Rhinolophus ferrumequinum: one gene and its partner. The protein of the gene in region 1 interacts with the protein of each later gene in a pairwise test. Links are inferred from orthologs where the notes say so. Each region holds a gene or a part of one and is shown on either strand. Other genes may lie near its edges.

Region 1 (7,422 bases):
ACAAATGCAAGACACATACTCTCCAGTGTCAAAAATAACACCTAATAATTATGCCAAATCATATTATCAATCCACTCACAAATTCAGAGACAACAGGTATGAAAAAGAAAAGTTAGGTTGCTGTGCATGTCTCAAAACTAAATTTAAACTCAGATCCCACATTCCGAACACAATTCACTCACAAAACTTGATATGTCACCTTTCAACCTGTGAAAGTAATTAGCCTCCATGCAGGGCCACCTGTCAAAATGAACATTTCTATTCCTGGTCAATTTGTTCTCCTGAATGAACTTGATCATGTTCGTGATTAATATCAACCCTAGATATGTAGAACCCAGGGGAGTTAAAGCACCTACCGCATTCAGGCAGCTGACTGCAGGGAGCTGTCTGGACCTCTAGAAATGGAACCACCTGGGTTAGGGGAGGAGGCAAAATGGGAAACCCCAAAGAGCAGTGGGAGGAAATGTACACAGTAGCTCAAATCCGGGACAATCCCAATCTCCAGGACACACGTCACAGAATACCGCAGCTGGAAGGGTTCCCACATGTCGGCCCATGCAGCCCCTCCCCACGGGCAGACCCCCCACTAAATTCCCCACAGTGTCACCCAACACTAACTCAAATGTTTCCAATGGCAAAAAGCTCACTGCCTTTCTAGGCGGCCTGTTCAACAACTTTTTTTTTAGCAAGTTTCCCTCTAAGTTAACTCAAAAATTGATACAGTACCAGTGTGTGGCTCTAATTCTAATTAGAGCCAAGGAGGTACTCTATAAATGCTGAACAAATGAACAGTCAATGAACGAATGGACAGACAAAAGGAACTGCTTGAAATTTTAAGTTTTTAAGAGCCATGATGGCTCAAGAAAATAAATCGAAAGGATTTGGTTCCATTCACCTCATGTTTCTTAAGCAGGATGAATTACGCAGGACTATGGAATAAAGCGTGGCTTGATGGAAGCAGCTCCAAGTAAGAGGACTCAGACTCTAATACGCGGTCTCCTGCTGTATCCCTCACTTTTCACACCTGTAAAATAAGCAGGCCAGACTCTGAAGGTCTTGCTTTCAGTTAGTAAAAATCGGCCACCCTGTGAAGCGCAATAAAGTGAAGCACCATGAAACAAGGTACGTGGCATATAGTTGTCAGCAGCTGCACTTGGGAAATGCACTTGATGCCACACCTGCCAGAACTCCTGACTCTATCCTTAATCGTTAGGTGACCTGGGGGGCGGGGAGGGGGTGCCGGGAAGCAGTAATCCTGAATCTCAGCTTTGGGGGATGGGGAATGAGGATTATAAATCCCTATCTCACAAAGGTTTGGGGAGGGTGTCATCCAAGGAATTCCCTAGCACCTTGTAAACTCTGCAAACTTGCCAATGTTAACATTCCCTCCTGGAAGCAGTGACTCACTTCAGGGTGCTTTCACACCTCTAACCTCACCGGATCCTAGGCAGCTCTATCAGTACCAAAAGCCGTAATTACTCTCCCCATTTTTCTTTTATCTTCTTTGTAAACAGATGAGGAAACTGAGGCTCAAGGTCACAGAGCTCAGAAAGCCAATCCAGGCATCTTTTCACTCAGTGACAGATTTCTCAACTGAACCTCAAAGGACTTCCTGTGCTATGCCTGAATGGAATAAAATGAAATTTCTTTTAAAACACTCTGCTAATCATACTTTCATCAAATCAAACTGGTATTTCCGTATCATCCCAAATTATTTAGATTTGGCTTAGTAAAAATAGTAACTAAGGTTACTTAGAACTTACCCTTTCTCTCAGGCACTTGACTAATGTGTCACATCCAGACACATTTAAAACACACAACAACTCTATGTGGTAGGAACTGTCATTGTCCCCATTTTACAAATGGGGAAACTGAGGCACGACTACATCCAGGATTGAGATGCAGGCTGACTGTCCCCAAACCCCAATCATCTTAGGGCTCTAGTATTATCCAAATCCCATTTTCCAAATGGCCATACATTCTGCAAAGTGCTTCCATACACACCAGACCTATGGGACAGGGTCACCCGTGTTCTCACACGTCTCAGGAAACCGAGGATAAGGGATAAGGGAGCGGCTAAGGGATGTGTCTGAAGTTACCTAGCAAGGACAGCAGAGGAGCGCTCGGGACGCCAAATCTCATTGTCTGCCGCAAGTCTCAGGTTCCTTTGCATACGTGTTAACGGTGAGATGGTAGGAGACGTCCCGTCATTCTTGAAAAGCAACCATCCCCTTACTGGCCTCAGTGTCAACGCAAAGTTGACAGCGTGACCCGGCCCTGTCTCCTGCGCCCGGTGCGGGTTACCGTCGCCGAGTCAGAAGTGGGTCTGGGGCCGAGGGCGAGCCGGACGGGCCCTGCCCCTCGGGTGGACGGTGAGGGCGCACGGCCCCGGGAGGCTCGGGCGGCGCGGGGTCCCGGGTCTGATCCAAATTCCCGCACGCCCCTGCCGCCTTCCTTGCCCACCAGTACCCGCCACGGGGGCGTGTCGGACGTGCCTCTCGCCAGGGTCTCAGCACCCACCTGGCTCAGTTCGGCGTGGGCTGGTCGTCCCAGACCCCCCTTCTCTCCCAACTCCGCGCGCCACGTGCCCTGCCTCAGTTTCCCTCTCCTCGAAAGGGGTGCACCGAAGCCAAGGTGCTAACAGAGGCACAGCTCAGACCTACACGGTTTCCAGGGGGCGGCGCGCGCCCTCCCCGCCCGGATCCCGGACCCCGGCCCCGCCCAGCCGCGCTGACAGCGACCTACCTGCGCGGTGGCCCCCGCCGCCACCCGCCGGGGCGCCCTGGGGTCCCCCGGCCCGCATGTGTCCCGCCGGATCCTCCAGCTCCGCGGCGGCGGGCGGCTCTGTGCGCCCGAGGCCAGCGCCGGGGCGCGAGCGCCGGGAGGGACGGGAAGTGGGGAGGGGGCGGGCGCGCGGGCCGGCGGCGTCCCCCTCCCCCGCTGGCCCTGCGGCTCCGTTTCCAGCCTCCTTTCCTTTCACACGGGCGCGCACACACGCACGCACGCGCGCACACACGCGCGCGCCTGGGGCGGGGCCGGTGGGCCCACAGCCTGTCTCCGGACGCTGCAAGTTTGCTGTTCACTCCGGCTCATTTCTGGACGACGACCAGAGGGGAAGTGCGGTGGGGGAACCGGTGTCCAGGGAAGGAGCGACGGGAGGCCTTCCGGGTGGGTGTACAGGGCGCCTCCCAGATGCGAGATTAGGGAAGTGACCAAAGGGTGGACGGAAGAGAGGAGGGGACGAGAGGGACTGGTTTTTACAAGATGGGTAGTTGACTGAAACCTGGAGCAAGAGGTGACCTACCACATGAAGTGGCAATGCCAGCACTGCCGTGGTATGCTGTAGAGGAAGTGTCAGAGGCCTGGGGAGTTGGAATGTTAGAGGGGTTATCATGTAAGTAAGACTGCTTACCCACTCCAGGAGGGTGCGGACCACACACCCTTCACCAGGACTCTGAGAAATAACTTGTGGCCCAGCACCCTTGGTCACTCTTCTCTGTAGGTCAGAAATTACAGTGGAAACTGTGGCCTCTGAACTGGAATCCTTAAATGCAGTGGGGATAATTGGTTCCAGGATGGCAGGGGCCAAATGGTGGCAATGAATCACCAAAGGCAAGGGGGACATGGTGTCTGTAATGGATGGCAGAGTCAAAGCAGCCATCAGATTGGTGACTCCTGCAGACCGGCCAAGTTGGCAAGCCAGTCTATGCTGCTCCTAGAAGTCAAACAGCTGGGAAATCTACTAGCTCGTACTTAGTCTGTGTAAGCAGAAAAGTTCTAGGTCAAGTGAATGAAAGCCTGACTTGAATTCCCACACAGAGAGATTCGGCCCTTCAATCAGTTCCCAGACTAGAGTCAGTTTACAGACCAAAAATTAATTAATGGAAATGTTGGCCTCCTTGAGGAAAGACACTGCCAAAAATTTACACTGTTAATCTCTTCTCTAGCCTTCCCCAAAGGGTTGTGGCCTTTTACCAGGGTGGCTGTGCATTGGAGAAAAAGGAATTACTCAGACTTTTCAAGAATTACCAGACATTGGCTCTGAACTGACACTAATTCCAGGAGACCCAAAACATCCCTGTGGCCCACCAGTCAGTCGGGCCTTATGGAGGTCAGGTGTTCACAGGAGTTTGAGCTCAGGTTCGTCTCACAGGGGGTCCCTGCACCCATCCTGTGGTTACTTCCCCATTCCAGAGTGCATAATTGGATAGTACTGAGCAACTGGCAGAATCCCCAAATTGGTCCCCTGACCTGTGGAGTAGGGGCTATTGTGGTGAGAAAGACAAAGTGAAGCCGTTACAACTGCCTTCACCTAGGAAAAGACTCAACCAAAAGAAATCCTACATTCCAAGAGGGACTGAAGAGACTGGTGCCACCGTCAAGGACGTGGAGGACGCAGGGTGGTGATCCCCACTACATCCCCGCTCAACTTGTCTGTGTGGCCTGTGCAGGACACACATGATTCCTGGAGAATGACAGTGGGTTGTCATCAACTTAACCAGATTGCAAGTGCTACTCCAGATGTGGTTTCACTGTGTGAGCAAATGAACACCTCCCCTCATACCTGGTGTGCAGCTATTGATCTAGCAAATGTTTCTTTCCCTACCTATTAGGCCACCAGAAAAGCAGCTTTCTTTCAGCTGGCAAGACCAGCAATACACTTTTACCATCCTACCTCCGGGGTGCCACAACTCTCCAGCCCTAGGTCATCATTTAGTCAAGCAAGACCTTATCGCCTTCCCTTCCACAAGACTTCACACTGGTCTGTCACATTAATGACATTATTCTGATTGGACGGAGTCAGCACGAAGTAATAACTACTCTAGGCTGATTGGTGAGACATTTGTATGTCAGAGGGTGGAAAATAAGTCTGACAAGAATTTAGGGGCCTCCATGCCAGTGGATTTTCTAGTGGTTGAGTGGTGTGGGGCAGCCCTTCTAAGGTGAAGTATAAGTTGTTGTATGTGCCCTGCCTACAACCAAAAAAAGGAAGAACAACGGCTAATGGTGCCCCGTGGGTTTTGGTAGCAACATATTCCTCACCTGGGTGAGCTACTCAAGTCCATTCACCAAGCGACCTGAAAAGCTGCTGGTGTTGAGTGGGGCCCAGAATAAGAGAAGGCTCTGCAGCAGGTCTGGCTGCCATGCCAGCTGCTCTGCCTTTTGGGGCAGAGGACCCAGCAGATCCAGTGGTGCTTGAAGTGTCAGGGGTACTAGAGACGCTAAGGGAGGATTTGTCAGGCCCGTATGTGTGAATCATATCACAGGCCCTTAGGATTTTGGAGCAAAGCCTCTGTGGATAACTACTCTCATTTAGAGACTGTTAGCCATGAACTTTTAACCATGTACCACCACGTTACCATGCTACCTGGGCTGCCCAGTATGAACTGGGTGCTGCCTGACCCAAAGTGGTAAACTTAGGCATGCGCAGTGGCCCTCTATCATCAAATAGAAGCGGTAGATACGAGATCAGGCTCAAGCAGACCCTGAAGTCACAAGTAAGTTGCAGAAGGACGTGGCCCACATGCCCACGGTCTCCACTCCTGCTACATCACCTTCTTTTGCCCAGCCTGCACCTGTGGCCTCACGGGGAGGTCCCTATGACTAGTCGATTGAGGAAGAGAAAAGGCAGGCGCAGTTTACAAATGGTCCCGCACAATAATCAGGCGCCACCCAAGAGTGGACGGCCACAGCACTGCAGCCCCTTTCTGGGACATCCCTGAAAGACCGTAGTAAAGGAGAACCCTCCCAGTGGGTAGATCTTGGAGCAGTGAACCTTGTTGTTTGGTTTGCTTGAAAGAAAAAATAGCCAGAGGTACAAGTGTGTGACAGTTCATGGACTATGGCTAATGTGGCTGGATGGTCAGGAGTTTGAAAGGAACATGATCGGAAAACTGGTGACAAGGAGATTTGAGGAAGAGGCGTGTGGATAGACCTCTCTGACTGGGCAAAACAACCTGAGGATATTTGTGTCCCTTGTGAATGTTCACCAAGGGGTGACTCAGCAGAGGAGGGTTTTAAGCAGAAGGATGACCTGTCCTGTGGGTACCAGTCTCTTTCCCCAGCCAGTCCTGACACTGCCCAATGGGCTCAAGAACAAGTGGCCATGGTGGCAGGGACAGGAGTGATGCATGGGCTCAGCTACACACATTCCACTCACAAGGCCAACCTGACTATGGCCACTGCTGCGTGTCCAATCTGTCAGCAGCTGAGACCAGCAGCATGGCACCATTGCCCAGGGTGACCAGCCAGTTTGCTGCGTGGTGGCAGGTTGATTCCATGAGAACACTTCCATCATGGAAGGGCAGCGTTCTGTTCTTACTGGAACTGACACTAATGACTGAGTACAGATTTTCTCTCTCTACACACAACGCTTTGGCCAAAACTACCATCCATGGACTTACGGAATGCCTTATCCACACAGCATTGTTTCTGATCAAGAAACTCACTTCACAGTGAAGGAAGTGTAGTGATGGACCTATGCTCACAAAATTCACTGGTCTTACCATGTTCCCTAATTTCCTGAGCAAGTGGTTTGATAGAACAATGGAATGGCCTTTTGAGGACTCAGTCACAGTGCCAGCTAGGCGCAATACCTTGCAGGAGGCTCCCTGTACATGCTCTGAATCACTGTCCAATATAAGGTGCTGTTTCTCCCATAGCCAGGATTCAGGGGTCCAGGAACCAAGAGATGGAGATGGGAGTGGACCACTCACTCTTAGCCCTCATGATCCACTCGCAAAAGTTTTGCTTCCTGTTCCCACAACTTTATGTCCTGCTGGCCTAGAGGTATTGGTTCCAAAGGGAGGGATGCTTCCACCAACAGGCACACAATGATTCCATTTAACTGGAAGTTGAGACCGCCACCTGACAACCCAGGCTCTCCACCAGATGCTGGACTGCACGCCCGCAGGGCAGCAACCTTCCTTCCACAACCTCTACACCAGCGCCTTTCACAGCCCTACTCTCTCAGCTGGAGACGCGTAGCTTCCAGGTTTCCTGCAGCTCCAGCTCAGCCACCCATGTCATTCTGGTTAAAGATCTTTCTCAGATTCTTCAACCACCCTCTTTAGACTTTTGCTTCCGCAGCATCTCCCACAATTGTGAAAGGCCTAACTTCTATAATATGTGCCTTATGCACAACTCACAGTGGTTCTGCTTCTCCAATGGAACGCCCACTTACAGACCTACTCATTGCAGATCTCTGGCATGGCTACTACACAAGTCTTTCTTTAGTTTTCTGACAGCTCTCATTCCAGCGCAATGCCGTATTAATCAGGACTCTTTTCATTGCAACTCAACAAAACCAGTAGACTTTAATTTAAGTGAAAAGAATATTGGTGAGGATACAGGGGACTCTGGGGGAGTCCACAGGCATCATGGAGCCACTGCTCTAGGAAGATGAGAGGCAACTTCTGAAAA
Region 2 (7,439 bases), on another chromosome or scaffold:
GGCTGATATTTAGCCCTGTGCCTGGACCTGGTATTGGACTCTTCCCTGGGCCACGATCTGATACTGGCCTCTTCTCTAGCCCAGAAGGAAGACATCGTAGAGGTCTCATCTGCTGACCAGAATCCAGATTCATTAGAGCCCTCCGCTCTGGCCCTGGGCCTGGGATAGCACCAAGACCCAGTATCAGTTTCCTCCCCTGATCCAAACCAGGGTTGGATTCCCATCTGACCCTGAGAACCAGGAAAGATCTCAGCATCCACCCTGAGCTGTTCCCTATCTACAGATAGGGACATAGGTTTAGCACCTGACCCACACTCAGTACTGAGCAGTGGCCAGGCTTCTGCATTGGTCTGGGGCATGCCCTCTGTTTGGGACATTGCCTGAGCCCCAAACTCAGTCTGGGCCCAAGCCTGGGCTTCTTCCTTGTGCCTTGGCCCAGTGATTGCCTTGGCCTCAGTTTTAGAACATGCCCTACCTACTGCCCTGGCCTCTGTTTTTGGCCTTGCCCCAGACATTCTCTGGGCTTCACTTCTGGACCTTGCCACAGCCATTACTTGGGAATCAGTTTGGAGCCCTGACCCAGCCATCACCTGGGACTCCGTTTCAGGCGTTGCCCCATTCATAGCCTTGGATGCAGTTTTGGGCCTTGCCCCAGGCATTACCTGGGCCTGGGTCCTAACCTTGGGTCTGACCACCATCGGGACTTCGTTCTCTCTCTCAGCCCCACCTGCAACCTCTTCTCTAGCCTTCTTTTCAGCCTTGGCCTGGGCACCAGGCTCAATCTCAGCCCCAGTCATAATACCAGTTACAGAGAAGAGGCAGTTAAATACCAGTAACACAGTCCCCGCCTCTACCACAATTCTGTATCTTCACACTGATCTTCCAGTGATTCAGGCGATACAATTGGAAGAGAGTCAATCACCAGTCCAGCAGCCAACCAGCCTCCTTCCCAAGACCAGCCTCAGCCAATATCACAGACAGAGTGCCAAAGAGGCACAACCAAGCAGGGGGAGGATGGATGGTTCCCAAGTGGGTGCAGACCTGTTGAGGGTGGTGGTCAGCAGCAATTCCAGCACCATCAGAGATGCCACTGGAGGTGGATCTAGGGAGAGAGAAGGACATGGGGCCTTGAGCCTCTTGGAACTGTGTCACTCCATGTAGAGACTCACACAGAGACTGGACCTTGAATTCCTGGTGGAGCTGTTGGGCCATTAGAAAGTCTCTCTGTCACATTCATTTTGCCCACAACTGCCACACTATTTGGCCTGCCACCAAACAGGTGTGAGATTTGTGGGAAAGTATGTTGGCAATGAGAGAGGTTGAGGAGTCCTGAAACTAGACCCTAATTACTGTTGTGACTGCACTGGTCTCCACTATCCGACCCGAAGTTTACCCATCTCATACCAACCTTCTCTGATGTGGTGCAATTTCCCACTCCGTGCTTCATTCCAGGGGTACCAATTACACCCTAGAGCAGAAGGGTGTTCCATGGACAAGCAAACGCACAGGAAAAAATGGAGTCTGAGGGTTTGGTTGACAGGCAGACACCCTGACCCCTGATGCAAATATCTCTCTTTCTGTTTAAGGGTCCAATTTGTCTAACGTTTCCTGTCTCCTGGTCCCTGATCTCAGGTCTTCTCCTCCGATTCACAGCCCAATTCGCACCTACCCCAATATTCGTAATATCTCCTGCAGGAAATGGACAAGGAATGCTGGGACAGTGTGCAAATCTGGCAGAGAGCAGGAGAGGTGAATCAAAGACCTGCCATGATCTTACTCTGTCGCTATCCCCTGCATTTCCCCCTTCACACCAACCTCCAGAGAATTGAGCCAGTCTCTTCCTCCTTTCCTTCCTTGCAGAAGTGACCAGTCTTAAAGTAAGCCTAGGGACAAACGGATGAAAAGAAAGACAGTCAGAAGACCATGGTAACAACTGAGCACTTGGTGGACAGACCAACACCAATGATGGGAGTCCACATGTGATCTGTCTTTCAACATTTAAGGTCTTCTAGGTAGAACGTTCTCGTTTTACTAAGGCCCTCTGTTTCAGGGTTCCAGATAACGACATCTTTTCTTGACGTCAGTCTTCTCATTGCTGCCGTATTCCAATTCTGAGGATTCACCACTAGGTGCACCACATCCCTTTGCCTTGGGCAGCATAAAATGGGGGAAGGGAGCCTGCATATTATAGAAAACAGGTTGTGCAGTGGTACTTGTAACTGTGACTTCCGTCTCACCCTCGCCTCCGATCCCATCTTTTCCTACCCCCAGTTAGGGATGGAGGTAAGGGAGGAAGCCAAGGGAAGTGCCTAGGAACTGGTACGGAGGGAAATTTTAGGATTTATTCCTGGATGCCTAACCCGCTCTGGTCATAGTCACCCAACCCCAATTCGTGTCTCCAGTCAATGGCGGCTGCCCACCCCCCATCCCCACACACCTCCAGAAATCCAGGCTATTTTCCTGCTCCAACTTTTTCTCAAGCAGCTCCGCAGCAGATGCACCCCGCCACCTGAAATCGCCAACCTACCACGCAGACGGGAGACTTTGGCACCAAAGAGGCGCCTGTGGGAAGGGACAGCCCCCAGGACGCGGGGCCCAACAGACCCTTTCCAGAATCAGGGCCCGGAATAGCCAACGCCCCCGCCCCGGCGCCCCCATCTCTGCTCCGGCTCCACCATTTCTCCCGCACCAGCCTCCCCCACAGCCATCTCCGGGAAAGCTGGCTGTGGAGAGGCCGGCGTGGATAGCTTCCCCCAGGAGCCCAGGGAGCATCTGAGGCCACCCCTGGGCCCTGGACCCTGGGTCCGGCCCGCACCCGTCGCCGCCGCAACCTCAGCGCAGGGCTCCCCGGCGTTGCGCACCTCTCTCAGGAACCGGCTTCGACCCTGTAGCCGCCTCCGCCTCTTCGCTGGGCTGCCTGGGACTGGGCGCGGGTGTAAGCTGGTCGAGAGTGTGGACCCACCCCGCCCCATGCACCCCCACTTGCCTTTCCAGGCTCGGGGCCCGGGTGGCCGGCCTCCCCTCCTCTCGGACCTCCTCGGAGTCCCACCGCCTTGCGCGCGCATCAAATTGCAAAGAGGCGTCCCGCCCTTCGCTCCGCTGCACCAAACACGGCAGGGGGTGCGCAGGATGCGGCACGAACCGCTGGCTGGGGGTGTAGGGAAAGCGGGGCGGAGGGAGACCGGACGAATGGGCTCGACGACCCCTCCCCTGCCAGACGCCCCGCAGTTCCGACCCGGAGGGGGCGGGGCCGGGAAGAGCCCCAGCGCATGGGGCGAATTAACGCCCGCCAATCGGGCTCTAAGGACCTCCGCGGCCCCCTGCCGGGTACCCCCTACAACATTTCCGGTTCTACAATCTACGGGCAGCGCGGGCGGGGGTGGGGGAGCATGTTCGCTAGGTCAGGAGCAGCTTCGCTGCGTGTGGATACAAAGCGCCCCTAGGTGTATATGAACCCCCAGAGTGCTGGGTTCTACCCACCTCCCTCCTGCCGTCTCACTTCTGGACGCTGCTGGGAGAGGGGCTGTGAGAATGCTGCCCGGATGGGGAGAGGCCATCTAAAGCTAGACCGACCCTGAAGTCCTGAGGTGCCCCCCCAAGTTCTTTCATTGTTTGGGGGGTCAGGGAGGACAGGAAGTGGTGGGGTCTGCCATGGAGGCCTCACCACTGCCCCTCTTCTAAAGGCAGACCTAGACCTCTAACCCTAGGAGAGAATCCACTGCTCTGTACCCAGATTCATCCTTGCTGCCACACTGCTTTTTTTCACATTCGAAATAGTAACACGTGTTGCCATTTTGTGGTCCCCACAGTGCCCTAGAAAGAGGGCCTTTCCCTGTCTGGACCCGCACCGGGTCATAGAATTCTCCCTGTGTGTGGCCTCACATCCAAGTAAGTGTCAGGCATCAGATAGGGTCGCTCCGGGTTCCTCTTCCTCTGTTCTATCAAGTCTTGTCTTACAATCCCATCCAAGCTCTCATGATTTTTGGCACTGTGGAAATGTGGCAGGGATTAGAAGCATTTTAGGTCTCGGCCACTTGCCGTAAGCACCTATCCAGTTTGCCCAGTCATTCCTTGGAGAAAGCTGCATCATGCACACACTTCCCCAAGACAGCCCTGGTGGGGTTTGTTTTTTTGTTTTTGTATTTTTTTTTAGGAATTAGAAATATCTTCATGAACTGACATGGTAAAATCACAAAAGCATATTTCTAAATAAAAAAGAATGGTACAAAGTAATAAATATGTTACGGTAACATTTGTGTAAAAAGGTGAGAATTTTATGTGTAAAATTTCTCTGGAAGGATACTAAAACTGATACAACTTTAGGATACTAAAGTTGATTCTAGGGAAGTAAGGTGACTGGGAAAAAGAGTGGGAAGGAGAGAATCTTTTTTTTTAATTATTTTTTAAATTTATTGGGGTGACAATTGTTAGTAAAAGGAGAGGATCTTTTAAACGTTTAAAATTAGAACCACAGGATGTTACCTAATCAAAAATAAGAAAATAAAAACGAAAGGGCGGTCAGATACTAGGTTAAAAGAAAAAATATATAAGAGGTATCATTCATGTCATCCATCCTTACCTCTAGATCAAAGATGAAATGCTACTGGAGTCTTTTTGATTTTGGTACAGTGAGTGGTTTCAGACCGTGATTTAGTTTAAAAATCTAAAGTGCCGAGATTTGAGAATGCCAAGAACAATTTCCTAATATAAAAAAAGGGAAGAATGCTATACGATTAATGTATTTCTTGGTTCAGGTCTTCCTTAGGAAGAGAAATGCAGGAACAAAATAAAAACCTAAAGGTGGATGGAAACTGGTCATAGAAAACCAGAAGACAGCATCTTTCAGGAAAGAAGTATAAAAATTAAAGAACATCAGCTCAGAAAAGTAGGTTTTTCAGAGGCTTGGGGAACTGGTAGGATTAATACAATGGAAAGAATATATAAAAATACAGTTACCCAAATTAACTTGGATGCTTTTTAAATAGGCATCTCTGTGGGTACAAAGTTTACCAACATACAGGAAAGATAACAAGATACCAGACTGGCTAAACTCTGAATTTTAAGGTAACAAAATGGAAACAAGTCAAAAAGAAAAAATCAGGCCAGATTATTGAATTGGAAGGTAGAGAAACAGTATAGTTGAATAAGGTTAAAAAAGTTAACTCTAATACAGAAAATAAAAACAGCCAATCAAACCAACAGGGTTTTTTTTTTGTCAGCATCTACTAAATGTTCAGTATTATGCTGTACAACTTTTCTTTAAGTTTGCTTTTGAGTTTTTCAAGAGCATATAAAATTGTAAATTAGGAAATCCAAGAAAAGCGTTTTTCCCAGATAATAAAGAGAAAACATCATAATCAATAACCACAAAAAGGCAATAACTTTTACGGTTCACTTTACCTCTTTTACGAACCTCCAACCCTCATTAATCGCCTCTTTTTAATGCCAAAGTCAACTGTTGTTAACCAATATGAAGTCCATAGGCAACACTGGGTAGGAAATAAAACAAGGGAAGAAAAGGACCCTAAAGTGTTTTAAAAAGTAAGATGTATCCAAAAACCATATGAGGACTGGCATCTTAGGAAATGTTAAAAGATTTCTATAAATAACAATAATAGCTAATATTTGAGTGCTATATACCATGAATTTTATAATATTCTGGGCACTGTGCCAAGTACTTTGCATAAATTAACTTATTCCTCCTCATAAAACCTAAGGGACAAAAAACATATATATATATATATATATATTTATGTAATTTTATATATATATATATGATTTAACAAATGACAACAAGGGTGCTAGAAGTTACAGGAGTTATCCAAGGTCACACGGCATCTTTTTTTTTTTAATTAAAGTTTAGTAAAGTTACATAGATTTCAGGTATACAATTATGTATTACATCATCTATAAATCACATTGTGTGTTCACCACCCAGGTTCAGTTCTCCTTCTATCACCATATATTTGATCCCCTTTACCTTCATCCACCACCCCCGCCCTCACCAACTGATAACCACTAAACTATTGTCTGTGTCTATGAGTTTTTGTTTCTCATTTGTTTGTCTTGTTCTTTTGTTGTTTTTGGTTTATATACCATATATCACTGAAATCATATGGTTCTCTGCTTTTTCAATCTGACTTATTTCGCTTAGCATTATAACCTCAAGGTCCATCCATGTTGTCACAAATGGTCCTATTTCATCTTTTCTTACCGCCGAATACTATTCTATTGTGTATATATACCACAACTTCTTTATCCATTCATCTATTGAAGGACATTTTGATTGTTTCCATATCTTGGCCACCGTAAATAAAGCTGCAATGAACACTGGAGCACACGTGTCTTTATGCATAAATGTTTTCAGATTCTTTTGGTAGATACCCAGTAGAGGGATTGCTGGGTCATATGGTAATTCTATTCGTAATTTTTTGAGGAACCTCCACACTGCCTTCCATAGCGGCTGCACCAGTTTGCATTCCCACCAACAGTGTATGAGGGTTCCTTTTTCTCCACGGCCTCTCCAACACTTGTTACTATTTTTCTTGTTGATGATAGCCATTCTGACTGGGGTGAGGTGATATCTCATTGTGGTTTTTATTTGCATTTCTCTGATGATTAGTGATGTTGAGCATTTCTTCATATGTCTATTTGCCATTTGTATGTCCTCTTTGGAGAAATGTCTCTTCAGGTCGTCTACCCATTTTTCAATTGGGTTGTTTGTTTTTTTGTTGTTGAGTTTCATGAGCTCCTTGTATATTTTGGATATTAGCCCCTTATCAGAGGCACTGTTTGAAAAAATCTCCCATTCAGTTGGTTGCCTCTTTATTTTGTTGATGGTTTCTTTGCTGTGCAGAAGCTTTTAAGTTTCATATAGTCCCATTCACTTGTTTCAGCTTTTACTTCCCTTGACTTTGGAGTCAAATTCATAAAATGCTCTTTGAACCCAAAGGTCCATAAGTTTAGTACCTATGTTTTCTTCTATGCAGTTTATTGTGTCAAGACTTATGCTTAAGTATTTGATCCATTTTGAATTAGTTTTGGTACATTGTGACAGATAGCAGTCTAGTTTCGTTCTTTTGCACGTGGCTTTCCAATTCTCCCAGCACCATTTATTGAAGAGGCTGTCTTTCCTCTATTGTATGTTTTTAGCTTCCTTGTCAAAAATTCTCTGTCCATATTTATGTGGTTTTTTTCTGCATTCTCAATTCTATTCCATTGGTCTATCTATGTGTCTGTTTTCCTGCCAATACCATGCTGTTTTGATTACTGTTGCCCTGTAGTACAAGCTAAAGTCAGGGAGTGTGATACCTCCAGCATTGTTCTTTTTTCTTAAGATTGCTTTGGCTATTCGGGGTCTTTTGTGGTTCCAAACAAATCTGATGATTTTTTGTTCTATTTCTTTAAAAAATGCCATTGGGGTTTCGATGGGGATTGCA

Evidence for each region. The genes of interacting proteins can lie anywhere in the genome.
Region 2: the proteins of DISC1 (region 1) and GPRASP2 interact in a two-hybrid assay, tested with the Homo sapiens proteins (2 studies listed by BioGRID and IntAct). The link is inferred for Rhinolophus ferrumequinum from reciprocal best matches to the Homo sapiens genes DISC1 and GPRASP2.

The regions. Positions count from the first base shown.
Region 1 is NC_046310.1:25,365,200-25,372,621, forward strand, and holds the start of DISC1 (disrupted in schizophrenia 1 protein), read right to left. Parts: upstream 3,001-7,422; 5' UTR 2,804-3,000; coding exon 2,746-2,803; intron 1-2,745. UniProt on the Homo sapiens protein: Involved in the regulation of multiple aspects of embryonic and adult neurogenesis. Required for neural progenitor proliferation in the ventrical/subventrical zone during embryonic brain development and in the adult dentate gyrus of the hippocampus.
Region 2 is NC_046284.1:52,045,961-52,053,399, forward strand, and holds the start of GPRASP2 (G-protein coupled receptor-associated sorting protein 2), read right to left. Parts: upstream 3,002-7,439; 5' UTR 2,862-3,001; intron 2,524-2,861; 5' UTR 2,438-2,523; intron 1,884-2,437; 5' UTR 1,816-1,883; intron 1,731-1,815; 5' UTR 1,670-1,730; intron 1,469-1,669; 5' UTR 1,409-1,468; intron 1,103-1,408; 5' UTR 798-1,102; coding exon 1-797. UniProt on the Homo sapiens protein: May play a role in regulation of a variety of G-protein coupled receptors.